Arabidopsis thaliana: one gene and its partners. The protein of the gene in region 4 interacts with the protein of the main gene of each other region in a biochemical or structural test. Each region holds a gene or a part of one and is shown on either strand. Other genes may lie near its edges. The genes, in order: NAC019, WRKY28, SARD1 and TCP8.

What was found.
Region 1: the proteins of TCP8 (region 4) and NAC019 form a complex in vitro, tested with the Arabidopsis thaliana proteins (one study listed by BioGRID).
Region 2: the proteins of TCP8 (region 4) and WRKY28 form a complex in vitro, tested with the Arabidopsis thaliana proteins (one study listed by BioGRID).
Region 3: the proteins of TCP8 (region 4) and SARD1 form a complex in vitro, tested with the Arabidopsis thaliana proteins (one study listed by BioGRID).

Annotation. Positions count from the first base shown.
Region 1 is NC_003070.9:19,695,184-19,702,233, forward strand, and holds NAC019 (NAC domain containing protein 19), read right to left. Parts: upstream 3,300-7,050; 5' UTR 3,262-3,299; coding exon 3,081-3,261; intron 2,984-3,080; coding exon 2,715-2,983; intron 2,613-2,714; coding exon 2,109-2,612; 3' UTR 1,740-2,108; downstream 1-1,739. Other genes in the region: AT1G52900 (Toll-Interleukin-Resistance (TIR) domain family protein), read right to left, coding at 7,028-7,050. UniProt on the Arabidopsis thaliana protein: Transcription factors that bind specifically to the 5'-CATGTG-3' motif.
Region 2 is NC_003075.7:10,057,128-10,064,545, reverse strand, and holds WRKY28 (WRKY DNA-binding protein 28), read right to left. Parts: upstream 3,333-7,418; 5' UTR 3,039-3,332; coding exon 2,608-3,038; intron 2,495-2,607; coding exon 2,351-2,494; intron 2,237-2,350; coding exon 1,855-2,236; 3' UTR 1,653-1,854; downstream 1-1,652. Other genes in the region: KCO6 (Ca2+ activated outward rectifying K+ channel 6), read right to left, coding at 7,000-7,153. UniProt on the Arabidopsis thaliana protein: Transcription factor. Interacts specifically with the W box (5'-(T)TGAC[CT]-3'), a frequently occurring elicitor-responsive cis-acting element.
Region 3 is NC_003070.9:27,743,063-27,753,249, forward strand, and holds SARD1 (Calmodulin binding protein-like protein), read right to left. Parts: upstream 6,187-10,187; 5' UTR 6,117-6,186; coding exon 6,025-6,116; intron 5,729-6,024; coding exon 5,650-5,728; intron 4,991-5,649; coding exon 4,453-4,990; intron 3,659-4,452; coding exon 3,498-3,658; intron 3,416-3,497; coding exon 3,227-3,415; intron 3,104-3,226; coding exon 3,007-3,103; intron 2,899-3,006; coding exon 2,699-2,898; 3' UTR 2,161-2,698; coding exon of another isoform or gene 1,957-2,160; 3' UTR 1,728-1,956; downstream 1-1,727. Other genes in the region: AT1G73780 (Bifunctional inhibitor/lipid-transfer protein/seed storage 2S albumin superfamily protein), read left to right, coding at 810-1,106; GIP2 (mitotic-spindle organizing 1B-like protein (DUF3743)), read left to right, coding at 1,957-2,160; AT1G73810 (Core-2/I-branching beta-1,6-N-acetylglucosaminyltransferase family protein), read right to left, coding at 9,444-10,085. UniProt on the Arabidopsis thaliana protein: Transcription activator that binds DNA in a sequence-specific manner, 5'-GAAATTTTGG-3', to promote the expression of target genes. Recruited to the promoter of ICS1 and other defense-related genes (e.g. PR1 and SID2) in response to both biotic (e.g.
Region 4 is NC_003070.9:21,509,928-21,517,281, reverse strand, and holds TCP8 (TCP family transcription factor), read left to right. Parts: upstream 1-3,092; 5' UTR 3,093-3,396; coding exon 3,397-4,602; 3' UTR 4,603-4,950; downstream 4,951-7,354. Other genes in the region: AT1G58110 (Basic-leucine zipper (bZIP) transcription factor family protein), read left to right, coding at 1-626, 718-793, 897-1,023, 1,161-1,363; AT1G58090 (F-box and associated interaction domains-containing protein), read right to left, coding at 5,657-6,772. UniProt on the Arabidopsis thaliana protein: Can specifically bind site II elements in the promoter region of PP438/PNM1.

The DNA of each region.
Region 1 (7,050 bases), 1.8 Mb from region 4:
ACCAAACAAATAAAAATTTATGTCTCGGTTAAATGTATTTTTATTCTAATCACAAATGTCATTGTTATGATTTAAGATATTGCGTTTGCTTTGAAGTCTAGCCACAATTTATTAATAAATACAAACCCCTCGTGTATTTAAAGCCAAAACCCTTTTTGTGTGTGTTGTTGTTGTTAAATTTATATTTGGAAACATTTTTGTTTGTATTTATGCTTCCTCCATTTCAAATTATAAATCGTGTAAGGATTATTCTTCAGTTTAAAATTTTAGCTAGACATGAAGTCTAGAAAAGAATATTAAGATTATATCTAATTTTTATAGCTAGGTATAACGGAAATTTATATAATATAACCAATAACACATTACAATTCTATAATTATAAAACATGATCCGCTTAAAACCCGACACAAGTTCTATATTTGATTAGTAAATTCACAAAAACTGTATGTACTGTCTTTTTTTATTTGGCGACAATATGTGACTACGAACCTCCACGTTTCTGTATTGAATGTCTTTTTATTCAAATTTATAACTCTTAACCTTAGTTAGATGATTTTTTTTTTAAAGAATGCAATTATATATTCCTTCTTCTGAGTTACACCTTAATTAGAGGTTTTTTTGAGTAATGACCAAATAGATGGAAAATTAATATTTGGGCATTTGGCCCATGGGCCAATCAATACACTAGTTTGCTATTGGAATTTTACATTCCACAAATCTGAGTATCTAAATTTTTAATGGAACTTGTAAATACAAAATAAATACAATTGTTGTGTGTTTTTAATTATGATGCATGTATGTCATGTTATTCGACTAATAGAGAACGAACCAAGTGAAGGTCATGTAGATGTTTGTAAAAAAATCCGTTCATTCGACCATTTTCCGGGTGTCGTTTACCTCTCACATCAACAAAATCAACAAGGTCTAAGGAAAGACAAATATGAGTTTCTCCTCCCGAAGATTTCCCACACTCAAATAATGATATTATCAGTATGAGTGCATGACTCGACGGAAGAAGACTAGTTTATTAGAGGAGAAAAAAACAGAGATAATTAATTTTTGGGCTTTCGTCAAGACGATCCACTTTGTTATTTGGTAAATATCAGAAAATAGACATATCTCAAAGGATGGTCAAAGCTTCTGAAAAGCAGTAATGGTCATGGAGGATACAGAAAAAGGAAGGAGATAGAATTATATTGTATGATCAGCGAACCACATATATTCAGTAACAATGTGGCTAATGTGTACTAGAGATTGTGTTAACGCGCACTCTAAATCAAAATAAGAACATCTCGAATAGTTTAAAACCCTTTTTGAGTATTCTCATCCTCTTTTGAACTAAATGGTTATTTTTGGTACTTTCAATTCTTTATTTCGTTATTTTAATGTTTTGAAAACTCTTTATTAGAGATGTTCTTAAACTTTTACATGATTCATGTCAGAAATTAAATTTAAACTATTAGGTCGGATTTTCCTAGGTACAGTTAAAAAATCGAGTATTCCGTGTTTTACTCTTATCATTCATACCCTAATTGCAAACGCATTTAGTCGACCCACAATAAACATGTGTTTGAAACTTGTACGGTATAAACTGTTTCTCTACAATCTCTTGTCAAGATGGTCAAACAAGCAAGCCCACGTTACACACCTAAGTTCAGCTAACCCAACGCTCCTTTTTCAAATACAGTATATACAGTAAGTCTCTCAATTTGTGGTGTGTTACTATATATTCGTAAACAGAAAAGATTTGTATGTAGGTTTATGATTACATAACGTATGCTTATATTAAAAATGCATGAGATAGTTAAATATATTCTTTTGGATAGCTCAAACAATTAAACTTACATGTATAGCTAGCCACAACTAAACAATATATCAATATGCAATTTCAATCCACTAAATTTATACCAATACAAAGATAACCAAACAGCAACAAAATAAAGTTACGAAATCTATTCGTCAAATTTTCTATGCATGAAAGATTACAAATCTACATCTAAATCTATGAGTCTCCCTCTTAACCCAAAAGAATTGAAATTCAAATACATATAAGATTTGCCACGGGACAAAAATTAACGACTTATTTTTATTGCGTCAGCATTTCATCATCACATAAACCCAAACCCACCAACTTGCCCCGAATACCCAAACGAGTCAACACCATAACCCTTTTGAGCTAACTCGCCCGAGTTATTAAACCCGTGACTGCTCTCGACTTCCTCCTCCGTCTTCAGGTAGCCACAGTTGTACTCGAGATTAGGAACAACATGACTCATTCCGAGTTCCGGTACCGAGTTATTATGCTCAACATTACCGGCAAAACTAGCCCAATCGAAGTTAGAAGTATCCGCAAGACCGTGGAACCCGGTTTTCTGTTCGGTTAAGTCCGGTCTGAGCGACGAGATGCGGTTTGGGTTAGAAAACTGGAAATTTCTGTTGTCGATCTCTTGATGAAACGAATCAAGAACGTCTTCAAAGTGAGAAGAAGACGACGTCGTGGACGAAGTACCGTTGTTGCTGAATTCTCTAGCATTCGCGATTCCATTATCGTAAACTTGTTTTTGTGCACTTGATTGCTTCTTGTATATTCGACATAGAACCCAATCATCCAACTAAAGAAAATTAACAAGAATATTAATTATAGGTCATTCAAAACACTACAAGAAGAAAATATAAGATATAGTATTTATTAATGTTTAGATTTTATTTGTTACCTTAGTGCTTCCGTTTCTACGAGAAGGTTCAATGAGACGATACTCATGCATGATCCAATTGGTTTTAGTACCTTTAGGAGCTTTTCCGATGTAAAACACCAAAGCTTTTTTAATACCAACTCTTTGTCCTTCCGTCGAGATTATTTTATCCGTACCCGTAGCTTTCCAATAACCCGATCCGGCAACCCGGTTAGGTCTTGACCCGTTTGGATATTTTCTATCCCTAGGACTAAAAAAATACCATTCTTTTTCTCCAAATAATGCTTTATCTATAAATCACAAAAGAAGAAAAACCAAGAAAATTATGAATCTCTGTTAAGAAAAATAAACATTTTTTGAGAAGGGTTTCAATTAGTATATACTTACTTGGTAAAACCCATGGATCGAATTTGTAAAGATCTATTTCGGCGATGAGCTGAAGAGAGAAATCGTAACCAGCTGCTTTTCTACAGAGATATTGAACCATAAGCTCTTCATCGGTCGGGTAAAATCGGAAACCCGGTGGTAAACTCAATTGCGTTAACGGGTCAGTTTCTTGGATACCCATATTTTTTTCTTTCTTTCTTATTTTTGACAATAATGTTTGGGTCTCGTGCTACTTATATATGGACGCAGTGTATAGGTGAATCCACCGCCGCTGATTAACGTGTGTACTGAATATGGGACCCATTTTTGTGTTTATCTATAAACACTTTTGAATTCTGACACGTGTGTCAGTTAGATCGTCGTGATTTATGCAATCCCTTGAGTTCATTGAACCTACATGAGTAGATTTAGCTCTTCCTCGTACTATTTTTTTTAAATGGTTTTTTTTATTAACATTTGTTTATTCATCTATTTATCAATAATGTTCCGCTAAATTTAAAAGTATTTTCCAATCAAAATAAGATTCAAATGAATGTTTGGAAATTTGCTGCTTAGACATTTGGAGTTCACATATAATATTTAATTTAATCGAGATTTTTTTCCTAGGATTGTCTATTTAATTATTTAAGTAATGTAAAACAAATTAAAAAAATGATTTTCGATTTTCCTTTTAGGATTTTTTTTTTTTTTTTAAGGATATTTTTTATTTACAAAGTTTATTGTCAATATAGTAACCAGACGACATCTAAACCACAAAACATTATTGACTTTATCTTGGTCGATTTAATCAACATTGAACCGTCCATGTACTTTTTGGTGGTCTATATATTCGTGTAGGGGACTGAATTTCAGAATAAAGGAACAATTATTTGGCCAAATTTGTACCCAAAAAAAAAAAGATTTTTTGGCGAAATGATTGAACAGTAACCATGAAATATGTGAACTGGTAAAGGAAGAGATATTTTATTTCACGTGTTTTTTGTTGACGGGTTTTCTGAAATGTATATGTGCCAAATGTTGTAATAAGAAGGACACGCGTAATGTTGTGGTAGGGTAAGGGAAAGAGCTTCGAAAAAAGCGAAGTTGAAAGGACAAAGGAACTGTTCAATGTATCTTAGGTTACAACATGGAAAGCGTTTTCCATACGGACAAAACTACATCATGACGACACGTGTCCACGTGTCTATCGTAGAAGTTAGGCGCAATTTGTCATTTGTCAAAAAGACGTTATAACGATGGGAGAAGAGAAAAAACACGAGTTGATGTTGACTAAAGATTTTTTCAATTTATTTTTGTTTTCAGAAACATTAACAAACACAACTCGTAGTAGCTGCTTCAAAGCTTCATAGTATCTTTTTTAAAAAAAATATAGGGTAAAAAACTTCATAGTTTCTTTTTTTTTTTTGTGAAAAAAAAACTTCATAGTTTCATCATTTAGTTCCATGGTTTTTAAAAGATAGAACCATATATAATGGTCGCAATTTTTGTTTAATTTAGAAATTGGGTGTTATAGTATAAAAATCCATATTGTTCGCTCGGAATATGCTGTTTTGAGTTGGAAAGTGAAGTATATAATTGACTAATTGAGCATGTTTAGAACACCTAAATTCCACTTATAACCATTAGATCACATAGATACCACGATTTGGATAAAATCCTTGTTGGATAATGTATAAATTAATATTTTTATCTACATTTTTAGTGTCGGTTTCACCAATATGTCTAACTAATTTAAGGACTTAGCAAAATTATTTGTTGAGTTTTATGTAAATCCACCATAGATAAAACATCTTAACCGAAAAATAAGTAATCCACATCAAGTTTGCATATAATATAATCGAAATTGAAATTAGCTATAGACCCTATACATATATTCAGATTTTGTTTTATAAGATCACGTATTGATGTAATTTTTTTTGTCTGTATTTATCCATTGATTAGTTTTCATGCAGTTGTGGTATTTCATAAATGAAAAAAATTTACGAATGAATTTTTCTTGAAATTTATATTATAATATAATCTAACCCTAGAACATTTTACTGAAATCATTAAATTTTTTATGAAAGTTTAAGCATACATATATATGACATTTTTTTTTTTGATGAAGTGAAGTGAGGAAGAGGACATCATTTCAAAAGATTAGACGGAGTCACAGAGACGAGATATCAAATATATCACTATATTATGATCGTTATCTAATTCTATAGTGGAACTTAAAGATTTAGGGTTTCTTTCACTCAATAGTTTTCGTGCTAACAGCCATTTGATGCTACTTTTCTATATTTTGTTTTACCTCTATCTCTCATTTTAAATCAATGATTTATATTTTATCATTTAATCAAATGACAACGAATGGGTAGTCAAAGATTGGTTTTTAATTTGCCTTATCTATAACATTTTCGCTATCCTTTGTTTTGTTTTTCTCCAGTTAATAATTTCTTGGAATTTGAACAAAGTACTTTTGTTTTTACACGTGTGTGTATCCGAAAGTTTAGGTTATCTTACTCGATGACATATATTTGTTAAATGTATTCGTATTTTTTTTTCTTTTATTATTTAAAACTGATCCAGAATTTTTTTCCGTAACATTTAAAATTATCAGCTGAAATTTAAATCCACCATGGTACAAAAAAGTTTACAGAATCTGATTTAGTTAATAAACAAATTAAGCAGAGTTTTGAAAGATAACTTACTTTGGATTGGCTTGACTACTCTCTAGCATTAGTTAGAAAATATTTTAAACTCGAAACAAATAATATAGTGGTCCTTCGAAAAAAAATCTCGTCTCAAAACACTAAAGTACGTTTCTATCAAAGAACTAATATGACTGGTGACTACGTTTATCAGTAAGTAGATGCTAAAAAATTTTAGTTTATTTTTAAATAATAGAAAGTTAAACATTACTTGATAATAATAGTTGAAGACTATTCTCGGAACTTAAAACAAAGAAAAAAGTGAGTGGGATATTCTGGTAATCACTTCCTTAGGAAATGTATCACCAGCTTCTATTTAAAGGTGTGAATGTGAACTTTAAAAAAATATCAAATTCGGTGGAACTGTTCGATTTGATTTGTGTTGAGTTGGTTTTTTTGACTCCCCATACTGCTTGAAGAACAATGTTAAATATGATGGGTTTTTTTTTAAGCCCAAACCCACTTTAGACACATTAAATTTTCACAAGTGAGACTAGATATCGACGCAAAAATACGTTTGCCAACCCCCACAATACAAGCTCTTTTTCTTTTTAAGCCCACGAAACAAGCTCTTGACATTAACACTCATCATTTACTATTTTACTCGTTGAGAATATATGGATATCATAATGTATTTGTTTAGGGTCATCTCAAACTATGTTTAGATTTTGTTTAAAAGTTGTATTGGACATATGTTTAATGTGGACAGTGTTTTTATTTATTTAATATAGTTATAAGTTATAACCATTAATTATTTATTTATGTGTATATTTAAACTTTATTATATAAAATATAGGTATTTCAATAGGAACCATGTTTGACTATTCAAATTACCCATGCACCTGTTAAAAAGGTCTATGTATTTCTATGCACACATATATCGTTTTTATTTAAGAGTCTGGAGATGACAATAAATTAAAATGATTTTGGAAATGTGATGTTGAAAACAAACAAACAACTTTCGGTGTAAAAGACTAAACAACTTTCGGTATTAGAAAGAGAAAATGTTATTTTATATATCTGAACTTACAAAGAAATTACTTGCCACTTATAAACAAGAAAAATCTACAAATAATAAACCCTCAAAAAGGAAAGAAGTTGTTGCCTCAATTCTGTCAACCATTGATATATGTATGTTGAGACTTGAGATATATATGCATGAATAAAATCAATTAAATGAATTACTCGTAGGATTAGAAAAACAAATATTTAGAGAAGCATTTAGTTTGGAGTTAATTAAATGTTTTCCAACGCCTATAGATTTTCATCTTTAGCCT
Region 2 (7,418 bases), on a different chromosome or scaffold from region 4:
ATGTTTGTCATATGATTGTAGTTGTCTAGGGACTAGGGGGTTTGGCAATTACTTGATTCTCCCGGAAGATCTTTTATAACTTTGCTTCTCTTTCTAACATTCTGGCTTCCTTTTTTGTTTTTGTTAGGTGAATTTGATAACGACCCCGAAAACAAAACCAAAATCATTATCACCGAGATTTCTTTTTATAAGCAAAATAATATGAAAATACTAAAATAAATGTTCCATCTAATACAGATTTGTGTCAAATGGATTTCCCGTATGATTCAATATATGATTTGACTTGGTATATGATCATTTTAATAGTTATCTGTGTAGGCCAAATCATTCTTCAGTCAAAACATGTACATATTTAGTCAAAATCTAGAACATAGAAAGGATTTATGTATATATTTAATATGTTTTCTCAAAGTTGCTATAACATTTTTGCGAATATACCTTAGGTTTGTAAGAATTATATGTCAAACGTAATTTTATGACTATATTGAAAGAATGTTTTCCAAGAACACTCCAATGCAAATTTTACCAGTGATGATAATTGTGAATGTGTCATAACATTTAAAACCTTTAAGAAACGTCTTTAAACTAAAAAAAAAAAAACTACTGTATTTGAAGTGATTTAATACAAATTGAGTATGATAATTGATAATGAAAAGATTCGAGATTGGACATATCAGTTGAATTTCAAAATTTAAGAATAGTTTTCAAATAGGAAACTGAAGTTACATTGGAGCGCGCATGTTGAAATTTCAGAAATCCACATGTTCTATGATCTCATGACTCGTTCATCTCATGATTTCAAGTTTCAGCTAAATTCAATGACTTTGGTATATGACACAAATGCGCTCCCAAATAATAGTATTGCTTATTAATTCAGAAATTTGGTCCTCTTGTTCCTCATAAAATACTTATATATAGAGAATCCACTATTACTTTGTTGCCTATACTTTCATTTGCACAAACACATTTACAAGTTAATATATAAAGAGATCTTTTTCTAAGGTTCTTCTTCGCATCCTTCTCGTTCCTTCAAATTTTTTTTGTAATTCATTCACTCTTTATAAATCTGAGATTTGATATATAATTTTATTATTGTTTAGTATTTTCTTTTTATTTTTCGTTTTTTGAATTAAAACATTGTTTTCAGTTTTGATGGTAGGGGTAATATTATTGGTCCACAGTCTATGTTTCCATGTGTGTGTGGATAAGATAGAAAGCAGAAGCAGTCAAATCTTTTATTCGGGTCCATTCTCTTAGGACACAAGGTTAGATCTCAACTTGTTTTGTTTTTTCTTTACTTGTTCACACACATAGATATTCGTCGTCTACAACTTGAACCTTTTATATCAACACCCTTACATTAAATTTCCGATTCTAATTTCTTCATCACATATGAGCTTGTAACTTTTTTTTGTAATTTTTGATTATTAAGATATAAATCAGTAAGAAGTTGACCATTTGAACTTGTCAATTTAATACTTAAGTTTCCCAAAAGCATATGTATATATTATAATCAACATTTGGGAGATCAATCGTAGGCTCCTAGCTAGAGTTATGTCTTTTTCGCTTCTACATATGATAGTACAAATTACACAGCATAATATCATAATGTAAAAAACTAACCAAAAGAAGAAAATATAATTTCACAAAATGGAAGCGAAAATATGTATCCAACGGTAACACATTAAACATCATCAAATATATAAGCAAGCCCAACTGTCTCATTCTTTCATGAAAAAATATGTACATGCAAATAAGAGAGACAAAATAAGATCTTAAGTTACATATAAGTTTTTTTTTTCTCTACCTCTCTCTCTCAATATATATAATATATGTAGTTATAACAATGATCGATCAAGGCTCTTGCTTAAAGAAAATTGAAGGAAAAATCTCCCTCAAGAGCTCATACTCACCCCCTTGATGATACACTTGGTGAGAACTAGGGTTTGAATTCACACTACCATAACCACTTTGTCCATATCCATAATCCAAAGCCGCCGCCACAGAACCGCCGTTAGTATAAGCTGCCGTCCTAAACATATCATGTGCAAAGCTTCTTGGAGTCATGAGGTCTGCGGAGAACATAGCAGCCGCGGCAGAACTTCCTCGAAGATTAGTCGGAATCGGGTGGTTGTGTTGACCCTCGTAAGTTGTAATCACAACCGTTGGATCTTGGAACGATCTCTCCACTCGTTTCTTCACGTTGCACTTTTGTGTTGTACATCTATAGTAACTCCTATTTTCGTTTCCATTGGCTATTATCAGTTACACTATAATGGTCGCATTTTTCTAAACACAAATTTTCACAAGCCTAGCAATTTCAAAAAATAAAAAGGGAAAGTTTAGTTACCTTGGATAAGGGCTATTTTTTACAGCCTTTTGGCCGTATTTTCTCCATCTATAACCATCTTCAAGATGATCAACTTCACTTTTAGTCATAAACGAGACTCGTGGCTCTCTTTGTTTCTTCACCTCAGTCTTTTTCGTTTTCCCACTGAAAAATAATACACTATAAAATTAATACACATGCTAGACTAAATTCCTAAACGAAGAGATCAAATGATGTTCAATGTTTTGCATAAAAGTTCCTATAGAGTTATGACTTACACTTTTTTGGAAATTTGATCTTCTTCACCGACTAACTCTCGTTTCCTCCGGCTCTTACCGGAATCTTCACCGGGGTGATCAGCCTCACTAGAGGAAGAATTAGAAGGAGAAACCCTAGTTTCAGTCTCGTTGCATGCACCACCATTGATTACGTCATTAGTAACATCACGGTTCGGTTCTTGATCGATCGAAGAATTGAAAACCTCTGAGGAAGAGGGAGAAAGACCAAAAGTTTTCTGAAGTAGAGATTCATACGCTGCTGGAGAACTTTGGAGACAATCGGTGAAGGAATAAGTAGATGGATTAAAACCGTTTTGTGATGGGAGGTTTCCATAAGAAGATGGATTTGAAGTAGGCAGATTCATCATTTCGTGCAACGAAAACGATGAAGGGTATTGGTAGTTGTAGAGATCTCTGGTTTCATTAGACATGGTGAAGAACAATGAAGAGAGAGGTAAAAAAAGAGTAAAGAAGACAAAGAAGAAGAGATGAGATAAGCCTTTTAGGTTTGGGGATTAGGTTTTTAGGTTTTTTTCCTAAGAGGTCTAGATTGGTGCTTGGACTTTAATTTGGTCTTCGTCTCTCGTTCTCGTATTTATGCATTTTGAAACTCAAAAAAGGAAGAGAGAGAAGAATAATATGATTTTGGCTACTTGGTTTGGAAATAAGTTAATTAAGTAAAAGTGTATTGAGATATAATTCAATGGTACGTGTGTGAATCCAAAGTCGTGTTAATACTTTTATTTTTCTATCAACTTTGTTTTTTCTTGTTTCTTAACTAATCTCAATTTAAGTTGTGTAATTTTTTCCTATGCAAATTAATTTATATGTTAAAAGCTTTCATAATATTTCTTCCTCACGTTATTTTATCAGTATAATTTTGAATTCATATACAAAAAGGTTCAAATAAGTCTTTTTAATGTTTATCAGTCAAATGTACATAAAGTTAATTATAAATTAATAATGTGAACGATAAGCAACTTAATAGATAGGTATATATATATATATATATATTCAAGAAATAAGATATAGAAGTAGATGATAATTTTATTTGTGATATCATGTTATGCCTTTTGAATGACTTTTTGGTTTCGGGCAATAAGAACTTTACGTAAAGCTAAGTTGACAAAAATAGAGCTGCAAAACTGGCTTCTAGTGAGGAAACATACTTAAGCTTCTATATTTTTAATTCAGAATATGCTTACTTGCAAGTATTTCTATACCACTAAATACATTTCTTCGAGTCTTTGCATTGTATCTTCGTATAAATTTCCTAAAATTCTACTTTTATTTTTCCACATTTGATAAACATGCATAAATTTTGGGTTATTTTTGTGTGCTGCCTTTTTTATGGGGCCAAAAAGTAGGACATGAAAAGTTCTCACCTTCATTTTCTTCCCCACTCTATACGTGGCATATATAGTGGACGGGCTTGATAACACGCGCTACGACTAAACGGCGCGTGGAAGAAGACGACGTTATTGAAGGAGTCTTAGTCAGCGAAGACTATGTGTTACCGGAAACCGGAAACACTCAGTCACCGGCCGGTCGTTTGGTGTGAAGAATGCAGTAAGAGGCAGTCAAAGATTCAAAGGGAAAAAAGTTTACGAAAACAAAAGATTATATTTTGGGAGTATTAGGCTGCCACGTGGAAACACTTGCACCGGCATTTGACCGTCGCCGACACATGACCTGGCACGTGCTAGAGACTGTCTTCTCTTCTTCTTCTTCTTTTTCCCTCACTGTTTCACGAACCTTAATAATTATTCATAGGTAATTCCTAGTCAAGAAGCAATAATTTAGACCCTACATATTTTGGTTATAAAATATGAATATATGAATCTCTTGATATTCAAATTATTTTCATGTTTTTAGTGTAAGATTTGACCCAAAGAATCATACATTGCTAATAATTTGCTATAACATTCAAAGAAAATTAGTTACTATGGGACTTTAAGTGACGTAGCTATGTGGAGTGGATCGTTACTTATGCTGACGGATAAGTGAGATCATGATTACGCAATAACAATTTCTTTTTCACATTAGAACTTTCTGTTTGCAAGTAAAAGAGCATCTTAATTTATTAACTTATATTAAGGAAAAGATGGTCAAACCAAAAGTATCTATATTATGAAAATGTTAACATTATGATAATTACGATAAACCCTTTATATACAATTTTATTTGCGATAATTGTGGGGAATTAAAGTTGCATGTTATGAACCCTATGCTTGATTTATATAGCTAGTAATCGTTTTCATGAGTTTGTAGAAATTGATAGGAGCATATGATCAGGAAAAAAGGAGACATATAATGCCTAACCGACATGACAAATGCGAAGGGGACATACATCAACTTTAAATGTGGTCAAAGTGATATATTTACTACTATGAAAAATCACTAAAATATGGCAAGATAAAAACAAATACTAGCATCTTGGAAGAAATCGGTTTAATCACTAAAAATTTGATATGTCATGGTCTTTTGGTCACAATCCATTTTTTTGGTAGGTGAAGGATTCAACTCTTTTTTTTTTTTTGGTCACACCTAAGTTTTTGGATTACAAATTATCGTGAATTACGTATGATGATCTTAATGCGTTTAATAATCACTGCTATATTACCTAGCATATTACGGATAGCGCGAGAATACATACATATATATAGTCAGTGTCTCAGTGATACTCAGTATAAAATATTGGAATGAATCAAAATACTATGGCTTTGGTATATAAAAATTTGATCAATGAAAGAAGGGCATAATAATTTCCATGTTTTTAACGCTTTTTGGTCAAAACAAACTACGATGAAAAACGTTTTCGAGAAAATCAATACCAATCTAGTAATCTTTGGTCGAAATAATTAAGAAGACCGAATAATTCTCTTTGAACCAAAAGAGACATTAACCATTCACATTTGACCAAGAACATCAAGGCGTATACATACTTTAATTTGGGAAAGAGAAACAGCAACTCTTATCAGATTCCATATGAGTAATAGAATAATCTCTAAACCAAAAAAAATTCAATCTTCGAAGTCAAATATATATTCAATCTTCTATTGCATACTATAATAATGCCATAATGGTGGTATATGAATCTGTTTCTCGTACCTAACCACATTAATGCATACTAAGATATATATTAATACACATTTATAGTTTTAATTTAGGCAGAAACTAAACGCCGTAATTGGTGCCTAATCGTTTGCGTTGTCTTATCCATAAGCCCCACATTTAAATTACCCAAAGTTAGACCGTGGACCTCTATGTAATTTGTAACCTGTAAGTGAAAAAAAAACATTAGCTTACAATTACACGTATACATAACTGTATCTGTCTGCAGTTGAAATGTCTGACCTATTTTTGGGGATTTGTGCCTAACATATAAAGATATTATTATGAAATTTATTTCTACTTTCTAGTAAACACATAATTATTACATTATTTAAGTTTCAATTTAACGTAAAGAAGAATAAAAAGAAAGAGAGTGAAATTGTTGACTTTAGCTTTGGAATAGAATAGTTGGGGCAGGTTTGTTGTTAGGTTTGTCATGTGTGACATTTTTATCATTATTATTCATGTTAGTATATATAAAATATATATGAATAAAAAGGAATCTCTTGTATTTTCTGTTCTTTCACACACGTTATCCTCTTTCTGAAATTTGAGTTGTTACAGCTGATTAATTTAATATATATGATATTTGTGTATAGATTATCAAGAATAAGAAAATGCATTTAAAAACAAATAACCGAAAAGACTAAATTTTTCATTAATTGGTATTGATATTAGGACATCAATATGTTGAGTAACTATACATGGTCGATTACATTACAATGCGAATTGAAATTCTCTTTAACTGGAAAAGAACTAATATGAAAAAGCTGATGATGTATCAGTAAAACTCTTTTAAAACTGTTGATAAGAAATTCGAATTTACATATTTTAGATTGGAACTTGAAAGTTACAGTTTTATTTGCATACTGGACCAACAAATTTGGATCAAACCTTATCCAACCAAATTTATATACCTTGAGGCTTGAGCCCATATATCTGCAAAAATTACAGGGGGTCATCAAAATCTCATCGTACCAGAGTAAACCGATCACATAACCATTTGGCAACACATCAAACCGGTTAAGATAAAATCCCACAATTCCTCTTCATAATCTTGGGTGAGAAAGGAGAGGATAACTTTTGGTGATGTGAATCAGTGAATCCTGCTTAACCAATTATGCAAGACAAGACCAAAGACATAATATCGGTCCAAACCAGTTTACATAAACTGGAGACTGGACTCCTCATCATCACCATTAGCATCATTAGGATCGTTGATCCGTTGTAATTAGTAACTGTAATTCTAAGCTAAAACAAAAAGTTGCAGAGGATTGATCAATCGCCACTGCCACCTTCCAAGAGATCTAAAAGAGTGATCTTTCCGTTGCTGCATCGGTCGAGTTTGTCAAACTGTTTGGAGATTGGTAGTATGTCCTTATCGGTTATTTTCTCCATCTCCTTCAGTTTGTATATCACATACTCTGCTTTACTGCAAAAACAAAGAAAAAAACCAGAAGATATCTCAGGTTTGAGTGAGTATACAAGCAAAGCATTTCTCTGTGTTAAATCCGAAAATGCGTCTAAGCCTCCCTTTCATGGTCATTCAAACTTTATATCAAGCCGAAAACATACAATGACACGATGCTTTCGCATCACACATTCACAGATCTTCAACTTAGCCTAAGACCACAAACTATGTTCTTGAACAAAAAGATTCATAAGAAGAAGTGCAGAATATGAATTAACTTAGAAAT
Region 3 (10,187 bases), 6.2 Mb from region 4:
TGTATAACTTGATTAAATGGATATACAAATTATTTAGTACTTTAGAGATTTTCTAACACTGTGCTTGTTAGAGACTATTTAATCTTTAAGCGTGTGATTGCTTGCTTAATCATGTGTCTTGGGCTTTGTTTATCCTATTCATTATGTGCTAAGTATGAAAACCTTGGTGGCTGATACCACATGGAGAATATGGATTCTAGAAAAGTGTCTGAGTAAACTTAATATATACTGCAGCTTATCTTCTTTTATTCTTTCATGGCCTGATATATGTTTAACATTGTGATCAATGAACTCTAATTGGTCTTGGTTTTGGGCCACAGACTTATGCACTACATTGAAGATTTTGAAAGGAAGCAACTGCCTAGTGAATGGAAACAGATCAGTTTTTGGTCCATGTTGGCTGTAAGTTCTGCCTTTTGAATATAATTAGAAATTTAAGTCATATTTTGTGCTTAGTACAATAGTAATGAAGTAAAATATATAATTATGAAGGTGTTCTCATTACTTTGTTTAAGTGTCAACAAATTCATATACCTTCACTGGGGGTAGCCGAAAGCTGACATCTATTTTGGTTACACGTGGTTTCATAACTTCTCCAAAATGGTGCCTAGGTGTTTTTATGCTTTGTCCGAGCCTTTTAGAAAAAAGTTAATCTCTTTTAGACATATCGAGATCTCCTGCAACCACAAACTCTCGTTTGAGTAACGTGACTCACTCAAAGACATTTTCTTCTATAAATAGAACGAGAGAAACCCACTTTAAACTCCAAACCAAATATCTTCTTCTTCTTTCTATAACTTAGTGAGACAATGAAGGGTTCTTGCACAAAACCAGTGTTTTTCACTTGTACAATCCTTCTCATTTTAATTGTTGCCCAAGAAAACAGAGTCGCTGCAGTAGATCCATGTAATCCTGCGCAGCTGAGTCCATGCTTGGAGACCATAATGAAAGGGTCTGAGCCATCGGATCTGTGTTGCAGCAAGGTGAAGGAGCAACAGCATTGTATCTGCCAGTACTTGAAGAACCCTAACTTCAAATCTTTCCTTAACTCCCCAAACGCCAAAATAATCGCCACTGATTGTCATTGTCCGTATCCGAAATGCTAGTCCCAGTATTTCGTTCTAGTTTTCGATGTTCTGTTTCTTGCTTTCAAGACCAAAAAAGGTGTTCTGTTCTGTTCGCTCATCATCGATGGTTTTTCTACTTCAAGTTTCTTACTTTTGAGTTTGGCTTTCCATTAATGTGTTTGTCGTCAAGGAATAAATCTTGATCATCACATATTCACATTGATATGTTTTTAAGAAATTTCGGATAATTCGACTAACATAAGCTACTTAAAAGTTAAAAGTTCCAATTTCAAGGATATCACTACAAAATAAGTCTCTAAATTTGGATGCAATTTTGTCAATTTTGGCCGAATTAATCATAACAAGGTCTTGAATCCCTTGATTCCGACAAAAAAGAATCCCTTGATTAAAACTAGTTCAGAGACTTCGATTGTATTAAAACCGGCGGATTTTATTTAACCGACCGATTTGATATGAACCAGTAAATATACTCTGAACCGGCCAAAGGTTTATTTTCTTAAAAAAAACAACCCTAGATTTCTAAATTCTAATTGTTGGCCCATTTTCGCCTCTTCTTCTTCGATCACGAGATCGAGAATCGTTTCTCTCAATTATCTCAAGCTCTAAGATCTCACTTCTTCTCTCTCAAACTCGACGCCGTTCGTTTTCTCCGTCGATTAATCGGTTCGTTTTGTTCCTTAACCTTTTTCCGATCTAATGTATCTCTTGATCCGTCGGCAAGTCTCCGATTTCCACTTTAAGGGTTTCCATTCTCTGTACATCCATGGAGATCCGTACAAGAATAGAGTAGATATTCATATGTAAATTGAATCGTTTCCGAAATTGATATTTTTTTGTTCTGGATGATGTTTGGTGGTTTCAGAGTATTATGAATCAGGAAGCAGCTGAAACAGCGAGAGAGTCACTGGAGCTGGTGTTTCGGATGTCGAACATCTTGGAGACAGGTCTTGATCGACATACTTTGTCTGTTCTTATAGCTCTTTGCGATATTGGTCTTAACCCTGAGGCTCTCGCTACTCTCGTCAAGGAGCTTCGTAGGGATTCTGCTACAACAACAACTACGGTTGATTAAGAAGATGCCTAATCAAATAGTATCATTCATGCTTGTTTTCTAAGTTTCAATTTCATTATGCTATTGATGTGTAAATTAGGGTTGGTAAGGTAATTGAATAGAGAGTTTCAGAGACAAATTGGTAATAAGTATTTGAGTCATCCCCACTCAATCCTTTTGAGAGGCTTTCTTTAAGTAAATCACAAAGTTACCCTCATATTCTTGATTTCTTTTTTTAGTCAATACTTTCATCAAGTACGTACATATACAGCGGAATCAATTTTTCTAAAACGTAAAAACGTAAAAATTTGTTGAACGTGAATGGTAAAAACAACGTTTTCATACAACTGTGAAAACGTGAACAAGTGGTATACCATCCAACTAAAAATATAACTCTAAACTTCACACTTTTATGTACAATCATGATCAGCAGATCTAGAATACATGTTTTACCATCATGTACGTAGTAGTAGTTTAAAGTTTAAACCCTTATTTAGAAAGAGTCCAATCTCGGCCAAGGCACTATGGCGTGTCTTCCAATACTAACGTAGATGAGGATTTAGAAAGGGTTTATATGATTTTGAGACGAAGATCCGGTGAAACATATATTGAATTCCGCTGGAGTCGTTATATACCCTTCGTTTACTATCTCCAAATTGTTTGTAGATCTCTCTTGAACATATCCGTTTTGTTGATATGATTTATCGATTTCGATGTTTTGGTAGTGGCTCGCAGCATATTGTTGGTCCAAATCATCACCTATATAATCAAAATTACATTGTTGTAACATACTATATAATCAACGATGTTTCGCAATTATAGAAAAACTGAAATGGTGTTTATGTTGACACTATTTTAAAGTAATACCTTGTGTCAAAAGAGCAGCCTCGTTCGCTGTTCGTTCGCCCACTTCTAAAAAGTTCCCCTTTGAGTAAGCATCTCGAACTAAGTTCTTAACGTAGGGCTGCAACAAAACATTACCATAGATGAATTAAAAAAATAAATACAGTTTCTAACTAATAAACAATCATTGAGCTATCAATAATTGCTTAACTTCTTTAATAGAGAGAAAATGACCATTCAATACCTGGTTGAGGGATTCTTGACTAGAGAGAACATGACCATCGATAAGTGCTTTCATAACTTCGCATATCGGATTCAAAATCATGAAAAAATTCGGTCCTCTAGAAATGTATAACTTATTTCCCAAAATACACTCTCTAGCATGTTTCAATGTTACTTCCCACTTTCTATCAGACATTCCAGGCCCCAGAATCTGTACATCAACAAACCCCTATTCCTATTAGTTCTCTAATAATAATAAAAATTTAGGGGTCAAATAAGCTAAGAATTTAAACCTGACGGAGTTCGTCGACGTCAACGACGGATAGTTTCAAAAAGTCTTGGACAGTGTTGATGTGGCGAGAGGAGAGCTTCTTGTGAAAGGCCCCATCTTTGCCTATCTTCTCTAGCCGCCACACTTCGTCTTCTAACATTGGTGGGTGATGTTTCTTGTACACTTCACCAACCCCAAGTTGTACAAAACAAAACTATTTAGAATTATATCTAGTTTTCTACTATGTATCTTCTTTATATGTATTCGCTTTATGCATGTGTTTGTTGATTGTTATAAGATTCGGAAAATATACAGAGTATTAATTAATACGATATAAGCATTGATTGACCAAAGACTTATAGGCTCTTGTATAAAGTGGGATAGTCGTTTGCATACGGTCCACATCGAAAATACTTTTAGTAGTTTTTTTCTAATTAAGAATTAAAAATTGAATGTGTATATATATTAAGACAAATTAAAGCAAGTATAGTTAATATTTGTAGCCAAAAGCCCAAAACATATCATGACAAGATACAACAATTTTGTAATACCCAAAAAATTTTATATTTCTATACTAGTGTTTAATTAGAAAAACTAAGATTCTTTTTAAGAAGATAAAGCCAAAAGCATCAATATAGATTGATATGTTAATAAATTTGAAAACGAAATTATGCAAATAAATTTTGACGAAAACAAAACATCATTTTAATGGATTTCTGATGCACATGTGTTGTATAAATGATTATCTTAAAGGTTATGTATGATTGATAGTAGGGTAATCCATAAGAAGATGCCAAATGTGGTCAGGTCAAAGATAATTGAAACTAGTGATATGTTACTATCACATCCCCTAGTGGAGTACTGCTTAATGAATATATGCACAAAACTCATTATATATGATGCATAGATTTATTTGTTATATATTCATTAATTTCTAATTAGGTAAAATATTTAGTAATAAAGAAAAATAAACTTACATTCTCCACGATGATCTCTAACAACAATCGCTTCAGTCATCGCTTCACAAACCACAACGCCTTGACCGCTACTCCCTTTCGCAACTTTCGCACCGATTCTAAACTTACGGCTACGAATCCAACTCGAATTGTCTGTGAACACAATTTCTCCGATTGTTGCAACGCCGTTTCTCACCGTCACACTTACTTCTCCGGCAAGTAACGGCCGTTTCCCATCTCTTTCTTTGATGATGTTACTCTCAAACTCATCACTAGTCCATTTATCACCCGAAGGAAAATCTCCGTGAAGAGCAACGATGTCTAGTTTGATTGGACGGTTGAGATTCACCGGCTTGTTTGAGTCATCAACAAGGATAATCTCAAGTGGATTGTTGTCCACGTCACTGATTTTACTCCCTGTAAATATTGGTGTCATTAAGTTCTTACGGAAAATTAGCTTCAGTGTCGGAGTAGTCGCCTCCGGAGCTTCGATACGGAAAGACGATGACCGAGATAATCGAAATCGTTTACTAATTCCATATTCCACTTCTTGTCTTACCTGGTCACGTTACCAAAACGAGTAGAGTTATAAAACACTCTTATCTGTTTTATATTAACAAATAATTTGATATCCTTATTACACAAATTAAACAATACATACTAATAAATTAAATATGTAGGCCAATATATAGATCTTTTAAAAGGTACTAGCATATATGTGTGTGTGTACGTGTGTGGACCATTATTTTGTCTTTTATTTCTAGATATAGTTGATTGAAATGTTAGGTTAGAGAGGTCTTGTTTATTAATAATACTAAAAAGATTTATAACTTTGTAAATATTTAGTACTATCTTAATAACGTATGTGTATATATATGATATAAGAATGCAACTATGCATGTACATGCATATGTTTGTTACCTAAAATGTATATAGTATTAGCAACATGATCGAAATTTTCTTATTTTATCAAGTTCCAATTCGCACACTAGACATCGTCAATGCTAGACTAGTATATTTGTATGTTAAATTACACTTGTTACTTTAAGTATGTGTAGTTGATTAAACATGGTAAGTATGAAATTCTAATTCTCAACTCGTTCATTTGAAATATCCATGTATATATATATATATATATATATCCACTACATTAATTAGAAGTTAGAACAAGTATTTAGAAATAACAAAATAGAAGTGGAATTATTATAGTATACTTACAACTTTTCTAATAACGGGCTCTAGGACAGAACGAAGGGTGTTTTCTGAGATCAATGCTCCAAACACACTGGAAATTGGCCTGCAAGAAACAAAAAATATAACAAAAATTTATCAGAAAAAGGTGAATAGAAAATAAAATCCAAGAGTAGTAAGATCTAAAGGAGATATTATTTTAAGGATAAGAGAGAGAGTGAATAGAACATATACATAAAATACAAGCATATATTTATATTTAGATTTTAAGGATAAGATGTGTAAGAAAAAAAGAGGATTGAACACTGAACATGTTCCAAACAAAACTTAAGATTTGTAGAAATGATTCATCATAAACACAATACAAGAAAAAAAGAATGAAAAGTTTCTGAGAAAAATTACGAGGCAAGGGATGGTAGTACAGATTTAATCCGTTTCTCGGACTTATTTTCTTGGTCAGAATCAAGATCTTGAAATAACCTCTTCCCTGCCATGGAATTGTTCTGGTGAGTTGTGAGAGAAAGAGAGGGAGAGTTAGAGAGAGAGCGCTTAGATCAAAACTAGGTTTTGTAATGTTTTGACATAATCTTATACGGCGATGATATTTATATAGTTTTAGTCTTTAGTCTCACAAAAACCAAAAAAAAATAAAAAAAAATAAAGAAAGTTCGAAGAACGACAAAGGAAACAACCTGGCAATATCCAAAGAAGTCCGAAGTCTGATCCACGCGAATAATCTATTTATGGCGTCATAAATAGGGAGACTTTTGACGTCAACTCCAATTTAGAAAGCTTCCTTTGTTGACAAATGGACGGTTCCGATCTTCCCACCCGATTGGGTTTTAGATCTAACTGCTAGTATAAAGCGTGATCCATATGCCACATGATTACTTCTTGTAGAGAGAGCACTACGAGTATACGATCGATCCGGTCCGTTCTTCGAAGAATTTTTGTTCCTTTCTTTATCTTGTAAGAATATTAACACTATTGATATCATCATATCAACATACTTAATTATGAAAAATTGATTGTCTATATAATTCGGATTCATGTTTGTTCCTCTCTAACCTAATTAGTAAAAATTATGAAAATCAGAGAAAAAGACAGGTTCAGATTTGTTTTCTAAAGTTTATGTCAAAAAGGCAAAGTTTGCAATAACCTGAACTTCTTGGTCTCGTCCGATAAATACGGTGTATGTCTATTTAGCAATCCCTTTTATATAGATACAATTTTATTGAACTATCTTTTCTTTAAGCAAGAAAACAAAAAATTGAACTATATATCTTTTAAGCAAATAAGAAAGAAGGAAAGAAAGTCTTATAATAACCTTTTTTCGGTTTACATCGGTTTCCAAAAATATCCTGATAATTTAATAGCTGTCATTTTAAGTTAAGCAGGAGAACAAAAAACAACAATAGTTTTTATTTAATATAGAAATGTCATGCGTTAAAGGAAACTAAAATTATCCAAGTTCTTATGTGTTAATATAAACTATACTATATAAAGGGTCAAGTGAATGATTTCGACGAAGGTTCATTGAATTGGTTTGTCCTTTTCGGGTAATTTCTTGTCGGGTGAGTTACAAATCTCAATCATCCTCTCAAAACTTGTCGTGCTTTTAGCTTCAATCGACTCTGTTTAGTCTCTGTCGAAAATCTTGCTTTTAATTAACTTTAATAAGTTTTTTTTGTTTTAACTTCAAAATATTTTTGGTAGCATTATAATTGTAATGCTTTGCCTCCATGATAAATTGTATGGTAATTGTCACATAGTCTTTGTCACGATGATATTGATATCTCACATACACAGAATAAGAACCATCTATTCACTTTTTATGGAATCTAAACATTAAAAGCCCATTTCTGAATTGCCATCCACTTTTAGGGGTTGCCAACTCAAGAACGTTTATTTTTTTTTATTTTTGGGTGTGTTAATATGTACCTTTTCATAATAATTTTAGTTTTTCAAAGACTATGATGTGAGTAATCCATTTTATAACTTTGTAAGATATCAAGTTAAAAGATATAGGACTGCCTTTTTTTTCTTGGAAGCAGCCTTTACATTTGCAATTATTTTGTTACTATTGACTAAGCAACATTCTATATATATATGCTGGCTGGAGATTTTAGTTGGAGTTTGAGTCTAATTTTTAAAATGTAATTTAGAACATTAATACAAAATAAAAATGGCCGCGTACGGGACAAAACAGATTTTAGTTTGAGTTTCAGTCTAATTTTTAAAACGTAAGTTAGTACTTCAATACAAAATAAAAGTGGCCGCGTACGGGACAATACAGCCGCGTGAGTATACATTAGCGACTAAATTTTTTAAACAGTTTTTCGACATCAATGGCTTAGTTTATATGAGCTCGAGTCATCTCCAAATCTTATCAATAAACAATCATATTAGTCACGTAAGTGAACAACGAATCACCTAATCAAACAACGAAAAACAAACCGTAAAAACTAATAAGCTGTCAAATCATATATTTTGGTAACTCTATATATTTACAAAATAAAATTTATTTAGAAAACATGAAAGTCTTATCCACCTATAAAAACCCACCATGAGGACTTTCATATGAAATAGTGACGCTGACAGTAAGCCGATCTTTAGAGCCGCAAAACGAAATTTCGAAATTTTCATAGCAATCTGACCACTCTCAACGAGCCAATCATATAACTGACATTCTCTAATTAACATCACTTAAATACAGAGCCGTGCAAAAAAATGATGTCATAGGCAAAACAATATGGTTTAATATATAGATAAATTATATATAATAAATATAGTAAAATATATAGTTTAATGTTTTAAAATTTTATTATAAATCTATAAATTTTAAGAAAAACATATAAAAATTCACAGTTCCCAAAAAAGTATTCGTCAAACAATGAGAAAAGTATATTACTATAAAAGAAAAATTATAGAAACTAGGTTGCTCATAATATGCAGTCTAGCAATTTGTGTTTAGTGTTGCAAAAGTATTAAAGATTCCTTGTATTTAGGAATTTTATATATTGCAAGTTATACCACTTTCCTTTATTATTTGTATTAATCTCTCTAACTTTATTAATTCAATAATACATGTATGATAACTAACCACTATTAACAAATATAGCTTCCTAAATTTTCTAGGGTTCAAACTTAAATTTTGTGATGTTGCACAAAGAGAGAACAAAATCTACTGTTCAAAATTAAAACAATGATCTATGTCTATCGGATTCATGTACGAAGATCTATAAAGTCTATCAGATTCATACGAGGTCTTAAAAAAAGGTTTTTCAAAGAGATCTAGGTGACTATATGAAATCATTCATCATAAAATGGCGAGAAAATAGGGAACTATGAGAAGCGTCTTGAAGAAAGATGCAGGGATTTACCGTCGACATGATCGGCGACATTGAAATTGAAATTCTCACTATCAGGGATGAAGAAGATTTTGTTAAAACGGAAATGGGCCTCTCTTAAGAGATCGTAATTAAATACATATGTATATGGATGAAGAAGATTTGTTAAAATGGACTAATTCAATCCTGCTAATGTCACTTCCCATAAATATGTAGAGTAAATTTCATCGGAAAGAAAAGGACAAGACTTGTAACTAAAATTGGGCATTTCAATACAAATGGGCTGAAACGTATTGGTATAGGTAAGAATAATTTGGACAATCAGAAGAAAAAAAAATCTGTGAAAAATGGAGATGTAAATCATGTGGAAAAGTTTTGTAATCACAAATGGGATTTTAAAATCCAAGCACACAAACACGGGTTATTTACCAAACACGAATTGGCTTAGTCGTATGGTTATAACGAAGAAAATTAAAATCCCATAACACTATGAGCAAAATATAACAACTTATCCAAAGTACTACCATCGAACTTCCTAGCGAACAAGTAACATTTCTCGCTCTTCTTCCCATTATACACACACCCTTGTTCTCTATTCCTCACCCTCCGCAGAAACTCCCCTGTCACCGACCGCCTTGTGTACTTCCTCGGATGTGGACCTCTCCGTGACCAATCCGTCCACGTTAGTGACCGGTTCGCATTCTTCCCCGGAAACATGGCGTGGACAAATGTTGACAAGTAATGCTCGTCGGCATAACAATTCCAAAGGCAATATTTCTCGAACACAGGAAAGTAAGTTGTGTCCGATACTACGGCTAAAGCTACCTCACGGTCTATCTCGAACCACTGAGAGCCTTTTCGCCAGTTGGTGCGGCTGATGACTGGTGACATACGGCGGTTGTAGCGGCCGCGACCTGCTGGTCCGGGAAGGTCGTAGACGTCGACGTAGGAGTGTTGCGAGTTTATGAGGTAAGAGTAAATGGTGGAGAAGTTAAAGAGAGGAATGTCCGATTCCGAGAGGAGGACGAAGCGGTGGTTTCCGGCGTCAAGCAGAGCATTTGCCAGTAGCCGTCGCTCAGCCGCCACCATGCTCACCATTCCCCATCCCACTTCCTTCAAAAACACAACGAGATCCTCGTACATGAGTCGTGATATTTTTATTAATTAACAACTTAGTTGATTAATTTAAAATTCATGTCGGTACGTATGTATAAT
Region 4 (7,354 bases):
TCAGCATCGTATTCCGAGTATATTCCTACTGGTTTGATTGGTTCAAGACATGGTCAGAAGCTTAGTAATGAGAAAACACATCACCAGCGAACTTCCTCCGAGAGCCATTTGGTAGAAGAGCTTCCCTTTTGGCTTGATGATCTTCTCAATGAGCAGCCGGAAAGCCCTGCTCGAAAATGTGGTCATCGGCGTTCATCAAGTGACTCTTACGCTTATCTAGATGTGGCTAATGCTACAAACATAAGTTTGACTCTCCAAAATGATTTCAGTTATAGGAATACTGTTTTATCCACTCAAAGAGGAGTCCAAGAGCTTGACCGGAATAAAAATGCTCAGGATGCTGCCTTCTACTCTGGTGCTAGTTTTCTGAAACAGAAGAGTCGTCAGCGGGATTCTTTGGTGGCAACTGGGGCTTGTCCTTCTTGGTTACCTTTCGCTCGTGAGAACGGTGGCGGAAAAAACTTGGGAGCTTTATATATGTCTCAAGATGCAACAGTAATATCGTCAGAAAGAAAGAACTATGCTGAACCTTTTTCTCATGACCCAAAGATGTTATCTTCTGAGGAAAACAACTCCAATCCTTCGCCTGTGACTTATGAAGCTGACAACACAAAACGAGCCAAACAGTTTGTGATCTCTTTACTCGTTCTTGATTGATGTACCTATTCAAAGCAATATAGAATGATCAGTACTCATTTAGTTTGCTGCTCCCTGCAGGCAATTTGCACAAAGATCACGGGTCCGTAAGCTCCAGTACATATCTGAGCTAGAAAGAAATGTACAGACATTGCAGGTAAGGCTCAAAAAAACTTGCATTCAAAGAGAGAGTAAGTGAAAGATGTAGTAGATTACAATTTGTGCAGCACTGAAGTATGGATTTTATTTTGTGACTATAGGCAGAAGGCTCCAAAGTTTCAGCTGAACTTGATTTTCTCAACCAGAGGAATCTTATTCTGAGTATGGAAAATAAAGCTCTCAAGAAGCGTCTCGAAAGTATAGCTCAGGAGAAGCTTATCAAACAATGTAAGTTTCTCGCAGTTTCTTTTAGGTTCTTAAGGTTCAAACTATAGTCTAGAGTATGAGTTTGTAAGTATTAGCTAGTTATCAAGATTCAACAGTTCTTAAGATTGTATACCTCATGAGTTCTGTCTATTATCCAGTGGAACAAGAAGTGTTGGAAAAGGAGATTGGGAGACTACGAGCGTTGTATCAGCAACAACAACAAACTCAAAAACCATCAGCCAGTCGCGGACGTGCTACTAGCAAAGATCTCGACTCTCAGTTCTCCAGTCTTTCACTGAACACCAAAGATTCCAACTGTAGGCGTGACTCTGTATCTGTGATGGGTCAATTCCACTTTTAGTAAATGTCTCTCTACCCACTGGTTCATTAGAGATCTTAAGGGCCTGGCGACTCAACAAGATCAGACCCTTATCTACCGCCTCACCACAGACGTTTTTAACTCCCCCGTCGTTTCTTTTTTTTTCTTTTCTTATGGTTGACAAGTTAACTCACCAGTGCACCTGGAAATCCTATATTACTTCCAGGAGATGGCTTGCCTGAGGTGGTTTAGTTCGAAGATCAGACACCTGGACTTCATTTATCTGGTGATTGTTGTAGCGACTTGTGTAATATATGGGACGAATATATTCGAACCCGGACTCATCTCTGGAGTTGTACTATGATACCCACTGTTGTATTTTATGTTACTTGTAAAATGGTGCATTCCCTTCGAGTGAATGCTTCATGTAAAGTTGTTGCCATTTTCTGTAGTACTATCCCCAAGCGTCAAAATATTTGATTGCCTCAGATCTGCACTTAATTTATATGCACATTTACAGCTATTTCATTGCTCTTTGTCAAGCCTCTTGAAGGGCCTATATCAACTCAATTGTTATCAGAAAGTAAACTGGTTAGCATTGTTGTCGTTTGGTTTTAGAGGAAACTGAAACGGCTACATTAGAAATGTTTTTGGTAGGCGTGGGCAAAATACCCGAACCCGAAGAACCGAACCGAACCTGACCCTAAAAACCCGATCTGAATTCAAACCCAAAATTTTAAAATACCTAATCAGATCCTAAACTACAAAACCCGAATCCGATCAAGTTTCTGAACATATCTGAAATATATATACATAAAAATAATTTATTAGTAATAATCATATTTACAACAACTATTAAGTGCATAAAATATTAGATTTTGTATATATTTTGGATATTTTACCTACTTTTCGATAGATTCGGATAGAAAATACTCAAGTTTTTTGGAATTTTTTTTGTGTATTTTCAAGTAATTTAAATATATTTTGATACAAAATTTTGAGTTTTGGATATTCCGGATGAACTCGAATCCAAACCAAAAAAACCCGATCTGAATCTGAAATCTTAAAATAACTGAACCGTAAACCCAAAAAGACCCAAATACCCCAACGCCTTACCATATTAAATTAGGAGGAAACCCGTTCATAAATAATTTTTCGGGTTTGGGCCACAACAGACCGGCCCATTTCAACCGGTTCATAAATTCTAAATACTAGAAAATTCCAAATTAGATAAGTTTTTGTCCATCCTTTCTTTGGGATTCTTGACGAGTAACGTTTGATGTCTTTCTTAATTTGGTTGAATGATCAAATTTGTGATCCAAATTCTTACAAACTGATATGTTAATGAATCTATAACCAAAATAACGTCTAAAACAAAAAGCTGTAACGATTTGAAAGTGCATTTTTTCCCAAAACTATATAACTAATTAAAGAATTTAGTGTCATTTATCTAATGGATATACTTTTAACAAAATCTTATAAAACTAAAAATATTTAAGACAAAAGTGAAATGGAGATACGGAGGTGGATTGTAATGAGCTGTCCCCACCTGCAAAAATACGCACGCTTCACTGTCTGAAAGATGCTTATCTCTCTCTTTCTAACTTTCTTAATCCACAAATCTTTTTTAAACCTTTTTTTATTGGTGCTCTAAAATTGGTAAACAATAATGTTGTGATGAAAATAATGTAATTGAAAAATAACATAACTCATATTTGGGTAGAATTTTGATAAAAAAGACTTAAAATAATTGTGAAAAGTTATTTTTCTCCCCTAATTACTTTTTGATTTATATAATAACTAATCAAAAATCAATAAACGTTTTATTTAATGTTAATGACGGCATATATATTATTTATTTTAATAATAATATCCTCTTGCTGGAAAAGTCATCCACCTGCTTTTACATCATCAAACCTTTTTTTCTCTCATCTCTCTCTCTCTCTTCTCGAGACAAAGAAGAAGACAAGAGTCAAACTTGAAGGCGACAATCGGAGCTTCCATGGCCGTTTCTTCCTCTTTCACCAAACCCTAATTTCAATTTCATCTTCTTTTCCCTTCTTTCTCACCGGAAAATGGATCTCTCCGACATCCGAAACAACAACAACGACACCGCCGCCGTCGCCACCGGAGGAGGAGCAAGACAGCTAGTTGACGCATCTCTCTCAATCGTTCCCAGATCTACACCTCCCGAAGACTCAACACTCGCAACAACCTCATCTACGGCAACGGCGACTACAACGAAGCGGTCGACTAAAGACCGTCACACGAAAGTCGACGGAAGAGGACGTCGGATTCGTATGCCGGCGCTATGTGCAGCTAGAGTTTTTCAGTTAACGAGAGAGTTAGGTCATAAATCCGATGGTGAAACTATTGAATGGCTTCTTCAACAAGCTGAGCCAGCTATTGTTGCTGCTACAGGTACAGGAACTATTCCGGCGAACTTCTCTACTTTAAGTGTTTCGTTACGAAGTAGTGGATCGACTCTCTCTGCTCCGCCGTCGAAATCGGTGCCGCTTTACGGTGCTCTTGGATTGACTCATCATCAGTATGATGAACAAGGAGGCGGCGGTGTGTTTGCTGCTCATACGTCGCCGCTTTTAGGGTTTCATCATCAGCTTCAACACCACCAGAACCAGAATCAGAATCAAGATCCGGTGGAAACTATTCCTGAAGGTGAGAATTTCTCTAGGAAACGGTATAGATCGGTTGATTTGTCTAAAGAAAACGATGATCGGAAACAGAACGAGAATAAATCTTTGAAAGAAAGTGAAACGTCGGGTCCTACGGCGGCGCCGATGTGGGCGGTTGCGCCGCCGAGTAGGTCTGGTGCTGGGAACACTTTTTGGATGCTTCCGGTACCGACAACGGCCGGTAATCAAATGGAGAGTAGTAGCAACAATAACACCGCCGCAGGCCACCGTGCTCCTCCTATGTGGCCATTTGTGAACTCTGCTGGAGGAGGAGCGGGAGGTGGAGGCGGAGCAGCGACTCACTTTATGGCGGGAACGGGGTTTAGTTTTCCGATGGATCAGTACAGAGGAAGTCCACTTCAGTTAGGTTCTTTTTTAGCTCAGCCGCAGCCGACTCAGAACTTAGGACTAAGTATGCCGGACTCGAATCTCGGGATGTTAGCCGCTTTGAACTCGGCTTATTCAAGAGGCGGAAACGCAAACGCGAATGCGGAACAAGCGAACAATGCGGTGGAGCATCAAGAGAAGCAGCAACAGAGTGATCATGATGATGATAGTAGAGAGGAGAACTCAAATAGCTCTGAGTGAGTGATGTAAACTAATCTTGTGAAATCATTGAATGTGGTAAGAAATTGATTTAAAGCGTTTGTAGCGGTTTGGTTGATTGTTTTATTGTGAGATTTTGTGTGTTGTTGTTTAGTAGTGTTTAGACAAGAACAATTTATGTGTGAAGGAATTGTTAGGTTTGGGTCCAAATGGACTCTCATGGGTAGAGAATGTTTTCAATGTATAGAAGGAATGATAGTCTTTTCGATTTTTCAGTTTTCATTGTTGAGTTTCTTATATTTTTGTAGGATAAAATTGCATTCAAACCAAAAGAATAAAAATTGCATAATTAATCGCAATTAATAAGTTCCAGTGAAAGAGTTGGTGACAGATCTCACTTCTTTTCTGTATGCTACTTTTGTTTGATTTCTTTTTCGATCGAGCAAGGTCTTCTGCAACTGTTCTTTTTTCTGGCACAAGGATTTTCAAGGCACTAGTATGTATATAATATAAGACACACTGTTCTTTACTTGGAAAAAATTGAGTTTGGATACTTACATGATAGATATTCTAATAACATGCCTAGATGGTTTAAGCAAGCTAGGTTGTATACATCTACTCATTAATGTTTATTTTCAATACTCAGTGTCACTGGGCTTCCGTTCTCTTATTAATTTCAATGGAGTGCTAAAACTAACTTTGGGGAAATAGATAGTTGTTTGGTTCAAATATTTTGTACACATGATATTATTCTAAGACAACATACACGCACTAAGTTAGTTTTCTGTTTTTGTCCTAGTCCGCGCTAACATTTTGGCTTATGTTATAACTTCCTTGGTTACAGTATTCTCCTAATTTGAGCGATAGGTTATAGTGTATATAAACAGGAATCACTGATAGAGAAAGGACGTCGTATATCTTCCCATGCTCACAAATTAGATTATCAATTAACCGAATTAGGCCGAACAAATTGTGGAAATCAATCCTGTAAAAGCTTTATTAAATAATATCTAAATAATACGAAAGCAACAATGAATTTAAAACTTGTAAAAGTTCTTCTTGTTCAGTACTAGCTTCAGCGAAAGTCTCTCAACTCTCAAGGAATGGTGATCAAACTGGGAACATAGACAGAGGATTGAAACTCACATAGCACTTGATCTATCTTAATCTTTTTGCACAAATCTCCCCTCACAATATACACCCAAGCTGCTTTAGGTCTCTTGCTAGGACAACACAGAACAAAGCTCTTCCCATGGATATCATTATCGACAAAGTAACTTGTAGAGATGTAACTAAGTAATATGGGGAAGTCAGGTCTTGAGACTGTCATGAACTTAATCCACACCACATCGTCTCCATCATCCCCGTTACCAATTTGATCCTTTGTCACCCAAATCTCAATCTCCCTTGTTTTTTTGGATTGTTCTAACACTGAAAACCGATCTCCCTTGTAAATCGAGAGGATACGAGTATGTGTAGTACTTTTTTCCCCCTTACACGGTAAAACACAAAAGGTCTTTCGACTCTTTTCTATCTCTTTCGAAAAATCGAGCATTGCGATGAAATACTGACCAGTGTGGGGAGAATTATAAGCTGTCCAGTACAAATTTCCATTCAGGGAGACCCTACCGGAGTCGTCCATTAATTCTGGCTTTTCGTGAAAACGGGTATGATCAGTAACCTTCCACGCATTGGTTGCAAATTCGAAGACTGAATATGTATCAGTAACTTTACCCTGCCAAGAACAACTACTCCTTCCGATAATCTTGTAACTCTTTTCGGGTCTACTACCATCGTAACCAATGGCCTTGCCACATGTATTCTCAGCCTTGGCAATCCATTTAGTCTGTCTCCAAAACAACGGGTTCCAAACAACGCCTCCGCCTCCATTAAGAAAGCTATACATGAAGAAGTTACCATCGCAGATCCCATACAGATGATAACCGCGGCAACTTAAATGATCAAAGCGTAAATCACGCACCTTTATAGTTGGATTTTCGTCTTTGAGATCGACGCTTATCGAATAAATATGTGAATGTGTATTTAACATGATTTCTGGCCGACCGCAAGCAAAGTTTTTGTTGATGAATCTCTTATTCTTGAAAAGAGTGTTCCATTCTCTGCAAACGGATCTGAAGCGAACGAGAGATCGAGGTGGAACTCGAAAGAGTATCTCTTCTTCCAGATCTAATGGAAGCTTTTTCGACACCATTAGGGTTTTCTTTTTTTTGGTTGGAACCATTAGGGTTTTCTTTGAAAATGAAGCAATGGAAGAAAATATATTTACATAGATAGAGTAACAATTATTTCATTTTCGTAATATGTTATATAAAGAATATTTGAGAATAATATATAATTGGCTCGTCTACCAAACGGCCGGCCAATTTAAACCGCAAGGTAAGGTTCCGTTATTTGCTTCCTATATTTGAAGCCCTCTACTCGTGTCTCGTGATTCCTAATAGACATACAATTATAATCCATAACTAATGATGTCATATATATGTTCTTTTAGCGATGAGCTTAATTACTAAATCGAATTTGGTTGTTTAGACTTTAGAGTATATATAAGGAACGATGTGGAATTCTCTTGGGGTTAAGATGCAAATTGCTCGTGTCTTGTAGTATTCACTGTTGATTGTGTAATTAAACAATAAATTTATACTAAAGGATTTAGACAAATTCACTTTTCTCTTAGCTCGCGAATGATCAAAAGAAAAGAACAAGGTTACTTGGGTAAAAAGTTAGGGTTTGCTCTGTAAAGAGTGATCTCTTGTATAAGGTTAAAGATGGTCGT